Rattus norvegicus: one gene and its partner. The protein of the gene in region 2 interacts with the protein of the main gene of each other region in a pairwise test. Links are inferred from orthologs where the notes say so. Each region holds a gene or a part of one and is shown on either strand. Other genes may lie near its edges.

Region 1 (4,561 bases), on a different chromosome or scaffold from region 2:
TTAATTCATGAAAGGAGGGATGCTGTACAGGATCCAGCTGCCCAAGACCCTGTAAGAGAAAATTCTCTGAGGTAGGCCTCCTGATACCCAGTAGGCCCACTGTCAGCTCCTCTCGGATGGAACTATGTAACGCCAGGAAGGCCCAGGACCAAAGATACGTTGAGGAAACTGAGTTCCCCAACAGTTCTCTGACAGTCCTGAGCCTTCTGGGATCCACAGACTGGAATTGTTACCACCTTCTCTTCCTCACCAGCCTCTGCTTTTAAGCTGAGTGCTTTTTACCTCCACACTCCTTGGATCTACCTCTTCCAATACCGAGAACTGGCCTGCGCTCCCCTATGTGTGGGAGTTCCCCAAGAACTACGGCTATACTGGGTTAGCTCCTCTTAACAGGCTACGCTTGTAAAAATGCCTATGGGTTTTCTAAGTCAAATGTTAAACCAGCTAAGCTTGGTAGCACCTGCCTGTGTTCTCAAAGCTGAGAAAACTGAAGCTGCAGGTTACAGAAACCCTGTCTTAAAACAACAAAACCCTCACCTCCCAATCCCACAAAACCAAATAAACACATGCACCAAACTTCACCTTTGGCTCTACAGCTGAACATGATGCACCACACTCCACACTTGGCTGTAAGTCTGTAGGTGAAGATGGAGGGGGGGTGGCATTCAAGGGAAATCAAATACTGAGCTGACACTGGGGGTCTCTCTCTCATGATTTTCCTGGGCAGCCGTAAACCTATACTCCAACTGGAAGAAAGCCTCTTAGGTCCCACTTGGTCAATGAGTTTGTTAGGGTTACAAGAGTAAGCATTTGAGGAGTGAGAGTGGCTAAGCTGCCCACAAAACACTCAGAGGGCCCTAATGACTGGGTCCAGCCCCTCCAGATGCATGGGGTCCAAGCTCCTCTGTGCAGAGTAAAAAGCCTACGCTCAAGACTTGAAAACCCACCAACTCCCCTACTCTGGAACGTCCCAGCGCCCCCCGATTCACCTGAGCAGAGGCAACCATCTTCTGAGTTTTTCCCTCCCAATAAATCTCCTGTCTGAGGTTTGTTGTGTGCTGTGACTTTGTAGTATCCAACTTCCAGGATACCTTTCCCTTCAGAACTGTAACACTGTCATTGGAGAAGGCTTTCTCCACCCATAGCTGTAACATTACAAGAACATGGGTGACTGAAGAATCCCAACCCTAATCAATTTTTTATCTTAAAATTTATCATTTCTAAGATCACACACAGTTGGGCAGGAAGGACTGGTGACAAAAATGTTTCCCCATCCCAAGAGAAAACATGAACATCCAAGTATTTTCAGTACAGTTATCTGAAGACTATTAATGAGGGGGTAATTACATAGTTACCTCCCTCCTCCGAGCGCTTGCTCACCCGTGGGCCTACTGCCCCCACAATATCCAGGGAGCTTAACGGAGATCCCACAGAGGCCATAGTGGGTATTCCTCGCCTCCCACCGGGATTCCTACTGGTACTGTCTGGAACAGTCTGGGATGACGCCTGGACTCAAGAGGCCAAGAAGCCTCTACCTAGGCCTTCTCCAAGGCAGGACGACCCTCACGGCATAACTCAGAGAACAGTAAAAGGCCGTAGGTTGTGCGCTGGCTGTTACCTAGGAGACACAAGGAGCGCGAGCCCTTTGGGGAGCGCCAGCTCTGATTGGTCAGGATGCCCTAACTAGCCAATAGAAACCAGTTCCGCTGTGCACATGCGTCAAGAGGCTAACCCCCAGTCTGGGTCGGCTGTACGTGAGTCCTACGGCTGAGGTTGCAAGAGAAGAACCGCTGCCAAGTCAGGAAGGGGAACCCCCGGAACTCTGCGGCAAAGCGACCCCGAGGAGAGGAACGAAGAGCCTCCCGCGTTAGAGGCCCTGGAAGCGTGCTGTCGTCCTTGCTGAGGCTCACGGGAGACGTAGTCCAAGCGGAGGGGGCCGTTCCTGCGGAGCAGGTGCAGGATTGGCCAGGCTGGTAGGCTAACGGGAGAGGCGGGGCGATCTGTGAGTGGTAGTGGGACGCGCTCCGTGTCACTTCCTGGAAGTGCCTCAAGCTTCTCGGGCTCCCCCACGCGTCAGAGGTGAGCGCACTCCTAGCTGTGCAGGCGCAGCTTTATAATCCCCCTCCTCTGACCGCCGAGAGTGCCTCCCAGCCATCGGACCCACCCTTTTTCTGTGTCAGAGCCTGAGACCCCAACTCTGAGTGTCTCCTGAACAGGCCAGATGTCTCAGGAGAGCTGATTTCAATCCAGAACTTCTTAAGAGCTGGTACATAGGTTCCAGCTGACTACACACAAAACGGGGCTGTTTGATTTGGCTTTTGTTTCGGGGTTTCACATGCATAGGCTGAGGCAGTGTGAGGCATCCACAGTTCAGTTGTGGTCAGTGAACTGTGTCTGCCAGCCTATATAAGCCCCTGGCAGTGCACCCAAGCTTTCAGCGCTGCCCCCCAGGTGATGTACTTGGGCCCCAGAGTCAACTCTTCAGCTAGCACAGTGGTCTGCCTCCTGCCTGAAGCCTCAGGGCTTCAGGTTACCCTGGATGATGGTCCGATCTATGTCCTGCTTGAACTCTTGTCTACCGGGGGAACCACTTTCATCTCCCAACAGCCCTCTGTTTTACCCAAATATTTGAGCCAGTAATTTGCAGTTTTCTAGAAGATCCTTGGACACCTTCTACTCAAGTCGTTATCTTCAAGGCTTTCTCAACTACTGTGGGCCTGCACCTTCCATGACCTTCCTTGAAGTTCTCCTGCCCACAGGGTTCTCTTTATGGCTTCTAGGAAGGATCTGGTGTATGCCTTCTGACCTTAGATGACATTCTTCCTTTTCTGTAGGTAGGACCCTCTGTCACCTCCAAAAAGACCCTCAAAACAAGAATGCCATCTCCTCTGGGTACCCCACACCTATCCTTCAGAGACTCCAGGACCACCCTTGAGGAGCCTGAGGCTGCACGACTCCATTTCCGGGGTTTCTGCTATGAGGAGGTTGAGGGACCCCGAGAGGCATTGGCCCGGCTTCGAGAGTTGTGTCACCAGTGGTTGCAGCCTGAGTCATCCTCCAAAGAGCAGATGATAGAGTTGCTGGTTTTGGAACAGTTCCTGGGTGTGTTGCCTCCTGAGATCCAGGCCTGGGTTCGAGGACAGCGACCAGGAAGCCCCGAGGAGGCCGCTGCCCTTGTTGAGGAGCTGCAGCATGATCCTGGACAGCTGCTGGGCTGGGTGAGTGCAATGACATTAGCTTCTTAAAGGGACAGATTGAAGGGAGAGCCCCTGTAACATGCTTCTCTTCAGATCACAGCCCACATCCTGAAGCCAAAGATACTTCCTTCAGTCCAGAAGATGGAGGAGTCCTCAGGGAGCCACCACATCTCAGCAGCAATGGAATCCTCCAAGGCAGGCCCAGCGGAGGCACCGCAGGACGCAGGGATAGACAGATCTACCCAGATCAGTTGCAGTGTGAAGGAGGAAGTCAGTGCTGATGGGCAGGAGATGGGTGAGGGGATGCAGCATCTGAACTCAAATCCCTGGGGTGTGTGGGGTACGGGGGGGGGGGTTAGAGTAAGGTGCTCTAGGAGAGGTTTTGCAGGGCTGCAACTCCTGAAATGAGTCTGGACAATCCCAGCTGAGATAAGGACTCTGGAGAGACCATAAAGCTGAATTTCTGAGAAGGAACAGGGTGATCTCCCCCATGTCAAATTGCAGAGGCGGGCCAAAGGCCAATGCAGTAACAACAGCTTGATACTCCTTCCCATCTGCCTCTCTTTCTCAGTATCTCCAAGCACCCTCCTTCCAGCCCAGGGCCCTGAGGGACATCTTGAACATCAGGAAACAGCCTCCGTATCGTTCCAGCCAGGAAGAATCCAGGTAAACAGCCTCTAGCAGGCCTTGCATGTGGGAGGAGGAGTGTCTCTGGTGGCTTGTGTTCTGCCCTACAGTTTTGTAGGATCCCCTGCCAGTGACTCATGTGGTTTTTACTACTTCTGAGTAGTAAATACCTTCCCTCCCATCAAGTCCTATTGGTAGCCTCTCATTAGAAAGGATTTAGGCCCCAGATCCAGAAGTGGCTAGAACTGGTGGGCATGGATTTCTCACCTCCAGAGAAGTCAGTTACTGGAAAGGTTTACAGTATACACAAGCCATGAGCCAGTTGTTATGTGTACAGTTGGGGAGGGGATGGCCATGCAGGATTCCTGCAGTCCTGAGGTCAGATCAAAATTCTCTTCCCGAACATTCCTCAAACCCCTTCTACTGCTCTTTTCAGAGTACAGTGACACAGAGGCTGAGCTTAACCTGCTACCTGCATGTGTATAGTTAACATGGAGAGAGTAGAGATCTGTCCCCTCTAGGTTCTTTCTGCTTCTGAGCCCTTACCTTCTTTCTCAATAGAATGTCTAGTTAGGGTGTGCTTCAAGGTTAAGAAACCCTTCTTTGATCCCTCTCTGGTATCCTGCTCCATTCCAGACTAATAACACCTCTAGATGTAGCTGTGGCAGCCACCTTCCTTTCTCCAGATTTGCTTTGGCTTGTCCTTCAGGGTTATTTTTCTCAACCTATCAAAGACC
Region 2 (3,807 bases):
ACACTCTTTACATGCAGAGCACTGTTAAGTTAACACTTGACAATCTACCCAGGAAAGGTAATGAGCAAAGGTCACAGCTGTCAGCAGGAGCCTCAGGCAGTTTAATCCCCAATCCACACACACTTGCCAATCCCTAGTTCTCCACTTCATACCAAGCACCGCCAGGGCCCCACACCACACTGCTCACCTGGACAAGGACTTGGAGGTAGCACCACCTGCTGGCAGGATTGGGGCTCCGGCACCTGCAGCTCCTCCCATTTCTTTCTTTCCTCTCCTTGGAATGGCTGGAGGTCTTTCCAAAGAGAACGGAAAAAGTGATTTGTCACATACATACAGATATCACTACTCAGAAACCACTAAGGAAGCGGCAGGCTATGATCTGCAGGTGCTGCACTCCCTCTGGGGGCGAGCACGAGGGGTCATTCTGCTGAGCGAATGAACCTGAAGGCAAGTGAGCAAACACCATGAACCAAGGTTCTGAAGCTGGGCTCAATTAATGTGGGTTCTAGGTCTACCACAGACGGTTAACACCTTCCAAGGTAGGCCTGCGCAAACCTTCCACAAACAGACTGTACTGAGCCCACAGGACAGACGGGAGGGGTCAGAGGGAATGGAGGTCCCTTCACAGCACAGCCCCCGCCACACACACACACACACACACACACACACGGGGCAGAGAGGATGGAGGTCCAGGGATGCTGCTGATTCTGTTCAAGGCTACTTCCTTCATAGCTCAGGTTGCATGCACGCATACACAGACATGGTGCAATGAATTTTGGCCCATCTTTCCCCGTAGAATTCTCTGAGCGCTTGTGTGAGTCAGTGGGTGGGAAGCCGGTAAGCACAGTGTCTAAAAGGGTTGTGCTTCATGCCCAGTCCTTAGCCATACACATCTGACCATTTTTCTAGAAAGGATCTTATTCTAAACATAAGGCTACTCTGGATAGCAGAAGACATCCTCTCACTACAAGTCCCTGGTTGAGGAACAGTCTCAATGGACAGCAAAATGTAGCCTCCTCAGTCTCCACAAGAAGCCAGAGTCAAGGCAAGGCATGGAATTCCAGGAGTGGGGAGCTATGGAGGAATACTGGGGGTGCTCTGGATGCAATAGTTTTCTACCTTGCTGTCCACCCACCTCTAATTGTCACTCACCTATACAGGAGGCTTGGGGTGCTTCTTTATCCTGGAGGTCTGTCCACTCTGTGACCCGCAACCCGTTCTCCTCCTCATGTGAGTGGCCCAGCTGAACTGGAGACTCATCTATTCAAAGAGAGGTAGACACCTTAACAGTGACCTGCTGTTGCAGGTAACCCCCGTCCAACCCAAGAAGAGACTGAGGAGAGATGGCCAATGAGCTGTGGCAGGTACCACTGGGGTATAAAGGAGAACAAAAGCAGACAAATTGGGGTAGCGTGAAAGGCGGTGTGGTACAGAGCCGGCCAGGGCTTAGGACCATCTCTGAGGCCCACTGGGTACAGAAGGGCCATTCGAGCAAGCACGACTGGAAGCTGATGAAAACAGTCCTGCACAGATAGACAGACAGCTTCCTGTCAAGGTGAGAGGGTAAACAGAGATCGGATTTGAGCCACAGTACCTTAACCTCACAGGTACTGTCCCTCATTCAGAGTGAGCCCCCACCCCCCCCCCCTTCCATATACATGGCTGCATGGGACTAGGTCTTACTTGGAGGCATAGAGACTGCATAGTCTTCCCCAATGATGAATTCTCCATAGAAACCAGTCTGTGCCGGGTCCAGAAGGGACCAGTCCTCTTCTGAGAAGCATAAAATCATGTCCTTAAATGGGGAAACTCGGTTCTGAAAGCACAGAGCAGGCTGTGTCAGCTGGGGAGGAGCAGGCCTTCCTGGGATCACTATGATATGGAGAGACCATGGTCGGTGGCATGTTCCACAGGCATTTACCCCGAATGACTTAGAGGCCAGAAATCAAGCCAAGGTGCAGCAAAGTGGGCCTGTGGGAACAGCCTGCTTTTTGGGGTTTGGTGCCCTTCCTGGGCACTTGGGAGGCAGAGGTAGGCAGATCTACATAAGTTTGAGGCCAGTCTGGTCTACAGAGTGAGTTCCCGAACAGCCAGGGCTACACAGAAAAACCCTGTCTCAAAAACCCAAAAAGACCCAGGGTCCACACATGGCGGAAGGGGCTTTCCCGGATTCTAACCAGTATCACTACATCTTCACCATGCCAACCACCTCCAGGCCTCTGGGTTGGTGGAAAGAACAAATGAAATTAAGTCTCAGCTAAATTTATGGGAACTTTCAACACCACCTGACTTTCAGTTTTTTGCAACTTCAGATACATCCCTTTGGGAAACAGATGTTTGAACATCCTCCTCTGGGGCCCAAGCCCAAGCCTCTTTAGCTACTGAAAAGGGGATTCTTAGGTGTTACCAAGAACTTACTAAGGCTGTTAAGGGAGAAAACATCTTTGGTAAGCCATCTTGGGTAAACTACCTTTTATACTGGGCCAAAGAGAGTGAATGACCTGAGCCCAGGCTAGTAGTTTCATTCACTGGGAACAGATCTAGGAAGAAACTGCTTAAGACCTCCTGGAGAGGACCAGGATGCTTGGTGAGGACTTCTGCGGCCAAACCAAAAAGACTCCACTCTCCTACCTGATGCTGGCACTGGGACAGTCCTATCTCTGTGCTTCTGAGCAGAGCCAGTGCTGGCTGGAGAGAGGCTTTTGCTCAAGGGTCTGGCTAAGTCATATGCTGCCAATTCCTTTTAATAATTTTTTTAAAAAGGATTTTTTTATGTGTATGACTGTTGCCTGAATATATGCCTGGTGCCCTCAAAGGTCAAAAGAAGCCAGGAGATCCCCTGGAACTGGTTACAGCTGGTAACCGTGGGAATGTTTGGAATTACACCCAAGTCCTCTGCAAGAGCAACAAGTGTTCTTAACTTCTGAGCCATCTCTCCAGCCCCTTGAACTGCCAGTTGCCGCTGGACACCCTTTGCTTCCTGCACAGTCACTACACTAATTTTGCTCTTGAGGGTATTTTTGATTTTGATTATGCTGCATAAAGCCAGTTTGTGTCCTTGTGGTTTAGATTGTTATTTTAAGCTACTAAGAGATTTAATTAAAATTTTTTTAAAAATTATGCTGTACGGGTGGTCTGCCTGCATCATGCCTGTCTGTGCACTATATGCATTTAGTTCCTACTGAGGTCAGAAGATGGCATCAGAACTCTTGGGATTGGTGTTAACCGACCGTTGACATGGCCATGTAGATGTTAGCAATTGAACCCAGGCCCTCTGGAAGAGCAGCCAGTATCCCTAACCACTGAGCCATTTCTCCAGCCTTTTGGCTTTTTGTTGTTGTTTGAGGCAGGTCTCACTGTATAAAACAATTCGCTTGCCTGCCCTCAGTCTCCCAAGTACTTGGAATAAAGGTGTGTGCCACCATGTTGGATTGTTGGTTTTTATGGACTGGTATTCTTGCCCCTTTTGCCCAGACAGAGAGCTGATTGCTTAGTCTGCTATCCATCTGCAAAGCTCTCACTGTAGCCAACTCCTCCTCAGAAGGACCACAGTCAAAACCAAGAGAGGCTGGACCCAACCTCACATCTTCTGCCCAGCCAACTGGTAGCTCCAGTTAGTCCATGCCGGGTGCCCATACTTACACGCCTGCTACACCTCAAAATTCACCACAATATTATCAAACAGACAGACGCTGAACTAAAAACAAAAAATGCCTCAATGGACTGAGCCCATAAGGACTAACCCGGATGCTGTAGTACTCAGCTGTGGCTTAATCACCATCAAGTCGTACAAATATGCCAGACCTG

The links.
Region 1: the proteins of Zfp496 (region 2) and Zfp446 interact in binary tests that used the Homo sapiens proteins (3 or more experiments, as listed by UniProt). The two-hybrid records come from large-scale screens. The link is inferred for Rattus norvegicus from reciprocal best matches to the Homo sapiens genes ZNF496 and ZNF446.

Annotation. Positions count from the first base shown.
Region 1 is NC_086019.1:82,672,210-82,676,770, forward strand, and holds the start of Zfp446 (zinc finger protein 446), read left to right. Parts: upstream 1-1,710; 5' UTR 1,711-1,973; intron 1,974-2,072; exon of another isoform or gene 2,073-2,451; intron 2,452-2,834; 5' UTR 2,835-2,876; coding exon 2,877-3,218; intron 3,219-3,290; coding exon 3,291-3,492; intron 3,493-3,768; coding exon 3,769-3,863; intron 3,864-4,561. UniProt on the Homo sapiens protein: May be involved in transcriptional regulation.
Region 2 is NC_086028.1:44,773,679-44,777,485, forward strand, and holds part of Zfp496 (zinc finger protein 496), read right to left. Parts: intron 1,817-3,807; coding exon 1,684-1,816; intron 1,261-1,683; coding exon 1,153-1,260; intron 293-1,152; coding exon 188-292; intron 1-187. UniProt on the Homo sapiens protein: DNA-binding transcription factor that can both act as an activator and a repressor.